3 linked regions of the Canis lupus familiaris genome follow. The protein of the gene in region 3 interacts with the protein of the main gene of each other region in a pairwise test. Links are inferred from orthologs where the notes say so. Each region holds a gene or a part of one and is shown on either strand. Other genes may lie near its edges.

What was found.
Region 1: the proteins of SREK1IP1 (region 3) and HSD17B14 interact in binary tests that used the Homo sapiens proteins (3 or more experiments, as listed by UniProt). The two-hybrid records come from large-scale screens. The link is inferred for Canis lupus familiaris from reciprocal best matches to the Homo sapiens genes SREK1IP1 and HSD17B14.
Region 2: the proteins of SREK1IP1 (region 3) and PRR13 interact in binary tests that used the Homo sapiens proteins (3 or more experiments, as listed by UniProt). The link is inferred for Canis lupus familiaris from reciprocal best matches to the Homo sapiens genes SREK1IP1 and PRR13.

Annotation. Positions count from the first base shown.
Region 1 is NC_049222.1:108,190,871-108,194,909, forward strand, and holds the start of HSD17B14 (17-beta-hydroxysteroid dehydrogenase 14), read left to right. Parts: upstream 1-1,231; 5' UTR 1,232-1,263; intron 1,264-1,600; 5' UTR 1,601-1,712; coding exon 1,713-1,800; intron 1,801-2,313; coding exon 2,314-2,352; intron 2,353-2,512; coding exon 2,513-2,595; intron 2,596-3,064; coding exon 3,065-3,131; intron 3,132-4,039. Other genes in the region: PLEKHA4 (pleckstrin homology domain-containing family A member 4), read left to right, coding at 282-394, 715-974. UniProt on the Homo sapiens protein: Catalyzes the NAD(+)-dependent oxidation of L-fucose, yielding L-fucono-1,5-lactone, which rapidly converts spontaneously to L-fucone-1,4-lactone. Can also act on D-arabinose and L-galactose, with lower catalytic efficiency. Does not use NADPH.
Region 2 is NC_049248.1:44,879,462-44,883,599, reverse strand, and holds the start of PRR13 (proline-rich protein 13), read right to left. Parts: upstream 2,809-4,138; 5' UTR 2,714-2,808; exon of another isoform or gene 2,458-2,713; intron 1,712-2,457; exon of another isoform or gene 1,684-1,711; 5' UTR 1,664-1,683; coding exon 1,645-1,663; intron 1,295-1,644; coding exon 930-1,294; intron 1-929. UniProt on the Homo sapiens protein: Negatively regulates TSP1 expression at the level of transcription. This down-regulation was shown to reduce taxane-induced apoptosis.
Region 3 is NC_049223.1:49,855,916-49,859,425, reverse strand, and holds part of SREK1IP1 (protein SREK1IP1), read left to right. Parts: intron 1-1,769; coding exon 1,770-1,913; intron 1,914-3,510. UniProt on the Homo sapiens protein: Possible splicing regulator involved in the control of cellular survival.

The sequences.
Region 1 (4,039 bases), on a different chromosome or scaffold from region 3:
GCGCGTGGCACTGCGGTACTAGCTAACTGTAGAAGACCCCAAATCTCTTTTTTTCTTTTTTTAAGATTTTATTTATTTATTTATTCTTGATAGACAGAGATAGAGGGGCAGAGACTTAAGCAGAGGGAGAGAGGGGCAGAGACTTAAGCAGAGGGAGAAGCAGGCTCCACGCAGGGAGCCCGATGCAGGACTCGATCCCGGGACTCCAGGATCACGCCCTGGGGCAAAGGCAGGCGCTAAACCGCTGAGCCACCCAGGGATCCCTCTCTCTTTTTTTCTAGCCCCAGGAACACCACCCCTTATTTGCCGACAGCCGAAGGTCACCGGGAGCGAGTCCTCAGCCTCTCTCATGCTCTGGCTACTGAGGCGTCGCAGTGGCACAGATTGATGACAGGTGAGGGGCTGGGGGACCTTGGACTCCTGGGTTTTAGGGAAGAGGGAGCCAGAGCCTGGAGTCCTTGCTGGTCGGAGGAGTGTGAGAGCTGCTGGGAATCCTATGTCTGGATGAGAAGAGTGCCGTAGAGGGCTTGGGAGTTCCAGATCCCAGGCAGGAGGGGACAGGGGTTCAAGACTCCTGGGTCAGGGGGGCGGGGGAAGGGAGTGGGGCCAGACCTGTGGGTCTGAGGGAGGATGGGACTGGGGGCTCGACTCCTCGGTCTGAGAGGAAAGGGGTCCCCAAGTTTGCCATTCTCACTTCCCACTCGTGCTGTCTAGGTGGAAACTTGGACTCCCGAGGAGACCCTCTTCCCCCTGCGCCGCCGCCTCCGTCAGACCCCACCCCCCAGGGGACCTCGCCCCCGAGATCTCCAGTGGCTAATTCCCACTCAGCCGGGTTCTCCCGCGGAGGTGGGGAGCGCGGCGCAGGCCCCGCCTCCTGGGAGCCCACGTGGGAATCCGGGACCGCCCCCCCGGCCCTGACCCAGGAGGAGGGGGCGTGGCCTCTGCGAGTCACGCTGCTGCAGTCCAGCTTCTGACCCGCCCCAGCGCCGCAGCCAATCGGAGCGGGAGGGGCGTGACCCGGGGGTACCGCCCCGAGACGGGAGCCGCTCTCGGCGCCGGGGGGCGTGATCTGGTCCCCGCGGTGGCCTAGGGTGGGAGACGTTTCCAGGGCCAAAGTTTGGTTTTCCCAACACTTGTCCAAATTCGGATTAAAACTTTGAACTTTTAGTCAATAAATTTCTGTCTGTTTGGGGTTGTGACACTGGGGTCTCTTCAGGGCGGAGCTGGAGCCGTGGCCTCCTGCGTCCTGACGGTCTGAAACCTGTAGGTCTGGAAAAGGAGAAGCAGGGCCTAGATTCCTGGGTCTGAGGGAGGAGGGGGTTGGATGCCATAAATCCTGAGTTTGAGGAAGGAGGGGATTGGGGGCCCAGACTCCTGGGTCCGAGAGTGGAGGGGCTGGGGACCCGGACTCCTGGGCCTGAGGGTCTGAGAGTAGAGGGGCTGGGGGCCTGGGCTCCTAGGTCTGACGGAGGAGGGGCTGGTTGCCTGGGCTCCTGAGTCTGAGGGAGGAGGAGCTGAGGCCCCAGACAACTGGGTCTGAGGGAGGAGGGGGCGGGGGCAAACTTCCAGGCTTCTGGCCTTCCTGGCAACGCCCCCCCAGGGCCGGCCTTCCAGGATCCAGCCCCTATTTATGGTTCTGCTCCACGGCCTCACTGGACTGTGGAGGTGGAAAGAAGCAGAGTGAGTGACAGGGAGAGTCAGACAGAAGCAGGATGGCAACAGGGACGCGCTATGCCGGGAAGGTGGTGGTTGTGACAGGAGGCGGGCGCGGCATTGGAGCCGGGATCGCGAGAGCCTTCGGTGAGTAGGGGTCTGGCGAGTCAGGGTCTGGCTACTTGGGGAATATTAGAGATTGGGAGCGGAGGGACCCTGGGAACTAGTGGGTGTGGGAACTTCAGTACTGGAGTCAAGATTCTTAGCCTATAAAAACCCAATTTGCAATGTTAATGAAAGGGTTGACAGCCTAAGCCTGGGGCCTGAGCTTTTGGCAGTTCTCCAAAAATGGTTACTCTCTTTTTCTGGGTCTCAGTTATTCTATCTACAAAGTGGGGGTGGCTGGGGGAATGTGGCTTGCAGGTTTCGGGTTTATTCTGGAACCCAGGGATGGGGGCTCAGGAACCCCAGCAGGCACCTACAGTGGCCAAGGAGAATATGGGTCAAGTCTTCTGCCCTTTGCTCTAGAGGAACATCATGGGACTTTGGGGTCATGAGGGGAACGTTTGGAAAGATGGGCCCCACTCCAGGTGGCCACAGGAGGGCAGCAGAGGCCTTTGCCAAGATCTGTGCTGGAGTAACCTGTTTTTCCATTCTCAGTGCAAAACGGGGCCCAAGTGGTTATCTGTGACAAAGATGGTGAGTGAGCGTCCCTTGGTCCTCACCCCAGCCCCCTCCTCCCTCACACCCAGGAGTCTGGGCCCCCAGGCCCTTTCCTCTCTCAGACCCAAGAATCAGGACCCCAGCCCCTCCTCCCTCAGACCTAGGAGTCTGGACCCCAGCCCTTCTCTCCCTGCAGAGTCTGGGGGCCGGGCCCTGGAGCAGGAGCTTACTGGAACTGTCTTTATCCTCTGTGATGTGACCCGGGAGAAAGATGTGCAGGTGAGCTATTCTTGACCCTGTCTGGCCCCAAAGACTGCTGCTCCGGACTTTCCCTGATTCTGCTGGCCAGGTTCTGGGTCTCCTGCAAAGTTTCTCCTTTATCTCTCACTATGGAGCTCTTGTCACACCTGTCACATAGACTGGAACAACAACAACAAAAATCCCTCACAGTGGATCTCCTTCTGGAAGAGTCTTCCTCTCCCGCCTCTGGGATTCTATCCGTTCACTTCGGTCAATGTCTCTCTGATGTCCACCCTCTGCCCCCCACCCGGACACCAGGTCTCTGCAGTGTGAATATATCCAGCCCTCTGGTGATTTAGGGGAAGCCCCCACTTCCTGTAGCTCCCTTCACCTTGGCTGTGATCCACCTCCCCCTTTGCTTTTTTTTTTTTTTTTCCCCTTTGCTTTTGGGAGTCCAGGATCCTCAAGGCTGGGTGCCAGCCCTGCTCACTTACCTCTTTGTCCTCAGACTCTCATTTCTGAGACTGTCCGTCGTTTTGGCCGTCTGGATTGTGTAGTCAACAACGCTGGCTACCGTGAGTTGTGTGGCCCACAGGCCATTCTCCCTTGGTGTCCACCCACCTCCCCGCTTCCATCCCTTCCTTTCCCTCCCCCTCAGTTCCCCATCTGTCTTCTCCATCCCCTTTCCCATCCCCCTGTCTCCTTGGATGGGACAGTACAGCCCTGGAAGGCCCTGCACTGGGGCTCACATCCTGGCTGGTTCCATCCTGGCCTCAGTTCTTCTGTTTCTAGAATGGGAATGATGATCATGAACAACAGAGTTGTTGTGGGTATTAAATAAGATAAACTACTCGGCCTCATAATTATCACAAATATCTTGAAGAAACAGCTCCCATCTTGTGGTCTCAATTTGCTTATCTATGAAGTGATGGCAATGACCCTTCCCTTTGCTGATGACTATGAAGGTATCCTCATGAGTGTGGTTTTTTAGGTCCTCTTCAAGGTCCCCTTTGAAGGGGAAATGCTGTCAGTTTAACGACTTACCCTTCATAAGAATCTCTCATGTTGGTAAGCCAGGGCTCAGAGAGATGAACTGATTGCACTGAGGTCACACAGCAAGGCCTGTCATAAGAGTGACATCCTCTTCAGCTGCACAACGTGCCCCCCTGCTTATTGTTGGCTTTTTTTAAGATTTTATTTATTTATTCATGAGAGACACAGAGAGGGAGAGGCAGAGACACAGGCAGAGGGAGAAGCAGGCTCCATGCAGGGAGCCTGATGGGGGACTCCATCCCGGGTCACGCCCTGGGCTGAAGGCAGCGCTAAACCGCTGAGCCACCCAGGCTGCACAACCCTCCCACCCCCTCCACCGCTGCGTATTGGCTGGGCAACTTTAAGCAAGTGGCTCACCCTCTCTGGGCTGCATTTTCCTCCTTATATTGTTGTAAAGATCAAAGAGATGGCTAATACCAGTTCATCCTTT
Region 2 (4,138 bases), on a different chromosome or scaffold from region 3:
TTCTCCCTCTGCCTGTGTCTCTGCCTCTCTCTCTCTCTCTGTGACTATCATAAATAAATTAAAAAAAAAAAAAAAAAAAAGAAACAGCCTCTGTGTGCCTGTCTACCTTTACTTTTTCCTAAGCCCCAAATGGGAGAAAGTGAGGAAGGAGGGGAGAGTACTAGTCAAGGTTCTTTACTTGCACACCCCCAACAACTGTCACCAAACACATTTTTTCATCTCTGCAGGGCAATTTCTACCCCCATTCAACCTCATATCTTTCCTTCTCCTGCAATTCCTACCAAAGATCCGGAAAGGGGTAGTGCCCAAAGCCCTAAGGCAAATAAACACTGGGCACTAAAATGTAAATTAAGGCCTCCTCAAGATCCAGGAAGATCCAGGTGGGTTCGGTCCTTCCAGGGTTGTCCTGAGAGCTACTTGGTTCGGTCCTTCCAGGGTTGTCCTGAGAGCTACTTGTTAGTTAACGCTCTTCTAGAATGAAGATACTAGCTGAGGGCTAGCATCTCTGGGGCTGAGCATGAAATTTAGGTTTTGTTTGAGGCTGAGTCACTGAGAGTCCTGCTGGGTGGTAGGACAAAAAGGCCCCTGTGATAATTAACACAGCACCTCCAGAACACTGAAGGTGGGGGTGTCTGACTTGCTAAACCAAGCGTCTGGGGATGGGGGTGGAGCAAAAGTTCTGGGAGACAGAGACAGGAAGGGCTTTGGATTCTGTTCTGTATTCTATGGCTCAGCTTAGCCTCTCCTCGATAGAAGGCCCGATTTGCCTAGTATTTCAAGATTACCAGATTCTTACCAGTGGAAATACTTTACAAAGAAGAACCGTCGACCAGAGCCACACAATGGCTGCTTCATGTCCTCAGACTGCAAATCCCCCCATGCCTCTGTGGTGGGCACCCCTTCCTAGCCAAGCTCCAGGGGGCACTGACCTTGCCATGCTTGTGGTGTTTGTGCGTCTTTTTATGAGCTTTCTTCATTTTCTTCCGCATCTTCTTGTCCATCACCATTCCCGGTCCCCCCATGCCAGGTGGCAAGGGATTCACAAGAGGCGTGCCAGGAACAGGTGGTGGGTAGGGAGGTGGGTAGGGACCCGTGGGTTGGCATCCGGGGTACCCTGGTTGTGGCGCAGGATAAGGGGGCCCACCAGGGGGAAAAGCTGGATTCCCCTGGGGAGCCCCTGGGGGAGTTGGATAGGGGCCCGGGGGGTAGGCGGGATTCACAGGTGGCGGATGGGCAGGATTGGCACCTCCAGGGTACGCGATGTTAGGGGGATATGGATGAGGCCCTGGCTGTCCTGGTGGAAGAAGCAAAGAATAAGTTAGGATTCCAAGAGCTCAGAGCCTCTGACGATAAACAGGGGCAAAAAGAAGGGGGTTCCGTTTCTCACTCACTACTTACAGGGAAATGCAAAGGCGGGGGAGCAGGTGGGGCGGCGGGGAGGCAAAGCCGGTGGGCAGAGGGAAGGCGAGGGCGGCGGCAGGGGTGGGGAGGGAGGGAGACGGTGACTCGGGACCGACGAGCGCAGGGTCAGCCGAGGAGGAGCGAGGACCGCTTCTGTGCGCGAGGGGGGCGGAGAAAGCGACAGAAACTCCCCGTGCCCGGCTCCTCTGAAAAGCGGTTGCGGCCGAGCCCCCGAGCACCTACCGGCATTGGGATTCCACATGTTCGGGGCCTCCCTGCAGCCTGAGGAGGAAGAAACCAAGGCGAAAAGCTGATGGTGCTGGGGGGGGGGGGGGGGCGGGGGGGGGGGGAAGGGGGGTTAGAGACCCAGCCCGGAGCAGCGCCTCCCGGACTCGCGGAACCGCCTCGACCTCCGCAGGCTTCCTTCCCCACCGTCCCTGCGCTCAGCACCTGCTTCCTGCTGCCCCCAGGCCCGGGGCGCCCTCCCCGCGCCTCCACCTTCCACCACCTCGGGCTCCGCGGGACAGCGCCCACGTCCGCGACCTCCGGGCCCGCTCTCCCCTCCCCTCCCCTCCCCTCTTCGCCCCTTCCCCTCCCATCCTCCCCTCCTCCGCGACCTCGGGGTCCGCTCCCCTCCCCCCCTTCCCCTACCCCCTCCGCGACCTCGGGGTCCGCTCCTCCCTCCCCCCCTCCCCCCCCCCCGCGACCTCCGACCCCGCTCCCCCCTCCCCTCCCCTCCTCTCCTCCCCCCCTCCGCGACCTCTGGGCCCGCTCTCCCCTCCCCTCCCCTCCCCTCTTCGCCCCTTCCCCTCCCATCCTCCCCTCCTCCGCGACCTAGGGGTCCGCTCCCCTCCTCCCCCTTCCCCTACCCCCTCCGCGACCTCGGGGTCCGCTCCTCCCTCCCCTCCTCCCCCCTTCCCCTCCCCTCCTCCCCCTTCCCCTACCCCCTCCGCGACCTCGGGGTCCGCTCCTCCCTCCCCTCCTTCCCCCCTCCGCGACCTCCGGGTCCGCTCCCCCCCTCCCCTGCCGGGGCTGAGCCCGGAAGACTTTCCTCACCCACCGCTACGGAAGGATCTTAAACAACTTCACCGCCCTCAGCCCGGGCAGGCGGAGGGAGGCAGGACCCTCACCCCAGGCCACGGGAAGGAGCCGGAGAAGGCGTCCAGGGAAGAGCCTCCACCGCTGTCTTACGGAGACACACCCCCCTTCCACAGCCCACAGGGCAAGTGGAGAGCCTGGCTCCCGGCTGCCAAGGATCCCTGACCTGGGGACGAGGAAAGGAGGAAACTGGGGAACCCAGACGCCCAGTCACCTTTACACCACCTCCCGGGCGGGACTCATCCTCGGCTCTCACTTCCTGGCCCCCGCCCCCCGCTCCCCGACCTGGGCTTCAGCGCCCGCCCCCGCCCCCGCCCCCGCCCCCGCCCCCGCCTGGTTGGCGAGCGCTTGGCCCGTCCGCGTCGTGATTGGAGAACACAGCCGTCAATCACTCTGGCAGGCGGGGCTGGAGGCCGGCGGCGGCCCCGGGGGCGGAGCGCGGCCCCGGAGGGCGCAGAGGAGTGGGCGGGCCGGAAGCGCCGGGGGCGGGGCCAAGGCGGGCCTCGGAGGGGCGGGGCCGGCTTGTGGGCGGAGGCCCGGGGAGGCCCGGAGGACTCTGCACCGGGGCCCTTTGAGCTCCTCGGGCGGTGGGTGCGACGCCTGGAGAGGTGACCGAGGCGGTGCCAAGGTCCTTGCAGAGCGCCTAAGAGACGGCGGAGAGCTGCCGGGTCTCAGCCCCACGCCTCGGTTTCGCCACCTTCCTCCTCTCCCCTGTGGGAAGTAAAGAAACATTCTTGGGGGAAATACAGAGATTTCCTAATCCCCCTTAGAATTCCCTAGCTCACTTGCATAGCTCCGCCATCCGTCGAATTGCATAAGGCAGAAGCCAAGGAGGTCATCTTTGATGGCTTGTCCCTTGTCCCGCCGCCGCCGCCGCGAAGAGCTCGTTTTGTCTCCCAAATAAATCTGAATTCTTTCCGCTTCTCTCCATGGTCCCTGCTCCTAGCCTATCATCGTCTCTCTACTGGATTGCTGCAATGGCTTCATGTTTTTTTTTAAATCACAATTAACATAAAAAACCATGCACCCCAAACTTAAAAATACTCATTCTTCCTAAGCATACTTAGGCTACTTATTAAAAAAAATTGAGGGGCAGCCCAGGTGGCTCAGCGAGGCCTGACCCTGGAGACCTAGATTCGAGTCCCACTTCGGGCTCCCTGCATGGAGCCTGCTTCTCCCTCTGCCTGTGTCTCTGCCGCTCTCTCTCTCTCTGTGTCTCTCATGAATAAATAAAATCTTAAAGAAAAAAATTGGGTCTCAACTAATATAAATCAAATTTCAAAGAATTGTACACTACATACCACATTCTCTGGTCACAATGTAAAATACAAATATACATCTGGAAATTTAAGAAAACAAAAAGGCTTCCAAATAACTCTGGGTCAAAGAATAAACCATGATGGAAATTAAATACTTTGAACTAAGCCATACTGAAAATACTACATCCCAAATTTGTGGGATATATAAAAAATATTAAGAAGATAAATTGTATACTGTCTATCATCTTGAATTAAGCCCTTTGATAGATTTTTAAAATATTTTTTATTTTGTTTTTTTTTATTTTGAAATAATCCTTAGACTCACAAGAATTTGTAAAAAAAAAAAAAAAAATTGGGGGTGCTCCTAGGGGGCTCAGGCG
Region 3 (3,510 bases):
GATAAAAGCAAGGCTTGGGGTCCAGGTTAAGATTGGGACTCTAACTAGAGTTGTTACTGTATAAATTTAGAACTTCCAAAGGATTTCACACTCAAAGAGAGAACTAGAAATAAACCCTAGCACAAAGTTAGTGAATCATTAGTGGGTTGTGAAATCAATTATGTAGTTACCATCAGCACTGTTTGTTGTTGTTTTTTATTTTTGTTTCTGAGTATCAAGCGTAGTAATGCTTCAGGTAACTTTTTGTTTCATTGTGAGTGTGTTAGTGTGAATTTATATTTGAATGCATATATGAATACAAAACATAATATTGGGAGGCAAAAACTAGTTGCAGAATGATAGGTAAATATCACTGAGTTTATGTTATAAAATAATCCAATATGCTGTTTTGGAAGGATGAATACCAACTGCAGTGTACCAACTTCTGAAGACAGAGGGAGTAGAATGAGATTAAGACAGGGTTCCAAGGAATTGTGCAAAGTCCCACCTGTGTGTATGTATGTGTGTATGCACACGCACGCACAGGCATGCAAACATTTACCTTAAACACTGTAAGTGAATATGACAAAATGTTAACATGTGGGTGATAGGCACTTGGATATTGGTTATATTATTTCCTGTACTGGGGGCACCTGGGTGGCTCACTGGTTGAGCTTCTGCCTTTGGCTCAGGTCGTGATCCTAGGGTCCTGGGATCAAGTCCCTGCAGGAAGCCTGCTTCCCCCTCTGCCTGCCTCCTCTCCTTGTGCCTCTCATGAATAAATAAAAATCTTAAAAAAAATAACATCATTTAAAAATAGTAATAATAATTTCCTGTACTTTTCTGGTATTTGTCCTATTTGATTTTTGAATACATGGTATCATGTGATAAATAAGTAAATATTATAGCTTTATTATTGGGAGAGTCTTTAGGAGGCAAATGATGCCAGAATGAATTTTTTTTTCAGAATGAAATTTTTATTTAAGTGTTCTTTAGAAGAGCACCATCAGGGGTCCCTGGGTGGCTCAGCAGTTTAGCGCCTGCCTTTGGCTCAGGGCGTTGTCCTGGAGTCCCGGGATCGAGTCCCGCGTCAGGCTCCCTGCACGGAGCCTGCTTCTCCCTCTGCCTGTGCCTCTGCCTCTCTCTCTCTCTCTCTCTCTCTCTCTCTCATGAATAAATAAATAAAATCTTAAAATAAAAAATAAATAAATAAAAAGAACGCCATCAGGAGCCCCTGGGTGGTGCGGTCAGTTAAGCTTCTGACTCTTGGTTTTGGCTCAGGTCATGATCTCAGGGTCCTGAGATCAAGCCTTGTATCAGACTCCGTGCTCAGCAAAGAGTCTGCTGAAGTTTCTCTTTCTTTTTCCCCCTCCCATGCTCATTCTATCTCTAAAATGAATGAATAAATCTTTTTTTTTTTTTCAAAGCACAGTTATATTATCATGGCACTTTTAATTAGATGAAAGCTATATACTCACTCTGTAAGTAAGTACATAGAAAGGGAAAATACATGAAGTATGATGTAGCCAAAAAGTGCTTATTAAATTAGAAGCCCTGATGAATAAAGGAAAAAGTTCTCTCTCTGCATGGTTCATTCAGGAAAAGCAAAGTACTACCCACTGAATAATAGAAGTTGGAACTAAACATTAAATCATTAAAAGTGTAACTGGAAAAAAAATAAAATAAAAATAAAAGTATAACTGGTTTCTTAACCATGAGGCAACAAAATAAAAATATATAGTGTATGTGTTATTTTGTCATTCACATTTTTGTTTGTTTATTTTACTTAGCTGGTCACCTGACATTTGAATGCCGCAACTTTCTCCGAGTAGATCCCAAAAGGGACATAGTTTTGGATGTGAGCAGTACAAGCAGTGAAGAGAGCGATGAAGAGAATGAAGAACTGAATAAATTGCAGGCATTACAAGAAAAAAGTAAGTAATGCTTTTCTTTCCCTCCATCCTTTAAAAATGTTCCTAAACATTCTGTTGTATTATGTCATGTTTATCTATTTTTCTGTTGTATTTATCATTTAGATATCTTGTGTATTTTATATAGGAGATAGTGCATAGGTAAGGAAATAGACTTTGAATGTTGCAAGTACTTTGCCCAAAATCAAACAGCTGATCAGTGTTAGAACCAGGAGGCAAGTCTACTTCTGATTCCGCAACACAGGTTTTGTCATTGTTGTTTCCATCACATTATCATATGTCACATGGTACAAAGAGTCTGATTTAAGACTTCGTTTCTACACTTGTTTGGCCATTTGTAGCATGTGACTTTCAGCAAGTCATTTAACCACTGTGAACCTTGATTTCCTTGCGGGATAACACAAAGTATTAGTTTGTTAAATCATATTCCTTCAAATCAGTGACCTTAGCCATTATCCAGCTTTACTAATGGTTTCAAATATATAAATGATCATGAGGCAGAGGGAAAGCTGCAAGAGTTCTAAGACCATTAGTACAGCTCCCCAGGTATTTTCTTTCTATGTCAGAACCCCCTCTGGCTGAGATTAACATGAGGTTTCTTTATTACTTACACACACAAAAAAGTCATTTAGTCATGAAGCATCTTAATTTTATGTCCATATAGTTGCATTTTCCAGGGTGACATGCCTCATAAATCCATAGATGCTGGGATTATTTACCATATGCAATCTTGGACAAAATAGATACATCCTGCTATAAGAAATCTATAAATAAGGATTCTCTTGCCAACAACTTGATCATAGGCTTGTAGCTTTCAGAATTATAAGAAAATAAATTTCTGTTATTTAAGCACAATCCTGTTTCTGCTCCCCCCTTCAAAGTATTCTCAAGCTAGCAAATACCATTAATTTGTTTCCAGGAGGTCTCTCATTAGCATGTTTACAAAGAAATTTGATAAATTATCTGTTTTCTTTCTTGGTGGCATCCTCCTTTCTCCTCAAAGAGAGAGTAGATTGCATACCTGTTTAACCATTTCTTTTCCCATCTTGTATATAAAATGGCCTATCCTTGCAAGGGGTTTTTAGGAATAAAATAATGCTGTATGTATGTGAAAATACTTTGTAAACTTCAAAATGCCATATGGTAGATGTCACACAGAATAAAAATGCTTGGAATGAGAGAGATACATAAAGGTTAAAGTCTCATTTTAGATCACAAGTCAAAAATAAACCATAAACACTTTAAAACTTTTTAAGTTTTCCATATTACATCTAGTGAAGGTAAATGAAGTCAAATGCCAGCATACTAGGACAAGCTGGGAAGGCAGAAGAAGGAGAGAATCCTAAAAACGGCAGACAAGACTTACACTACATATGAGTATATACAGCTTCAGGTAAAGATAGCTGCTTGAGTGTACACCTTTGATTTTATCACATACTGAAACACCACGAAATGATAGTGGAAGACTTTTTTTTAAAAAACATAAACCCACAAAGAGAAAGAAAATGAGATAGCAATAATAACAAAATTTTAAAAAGCAGAGGAGTTTAGTGATAATGCACTGCACACTTGAGAAAGTTCAATCCTTTAATAGTAGGAG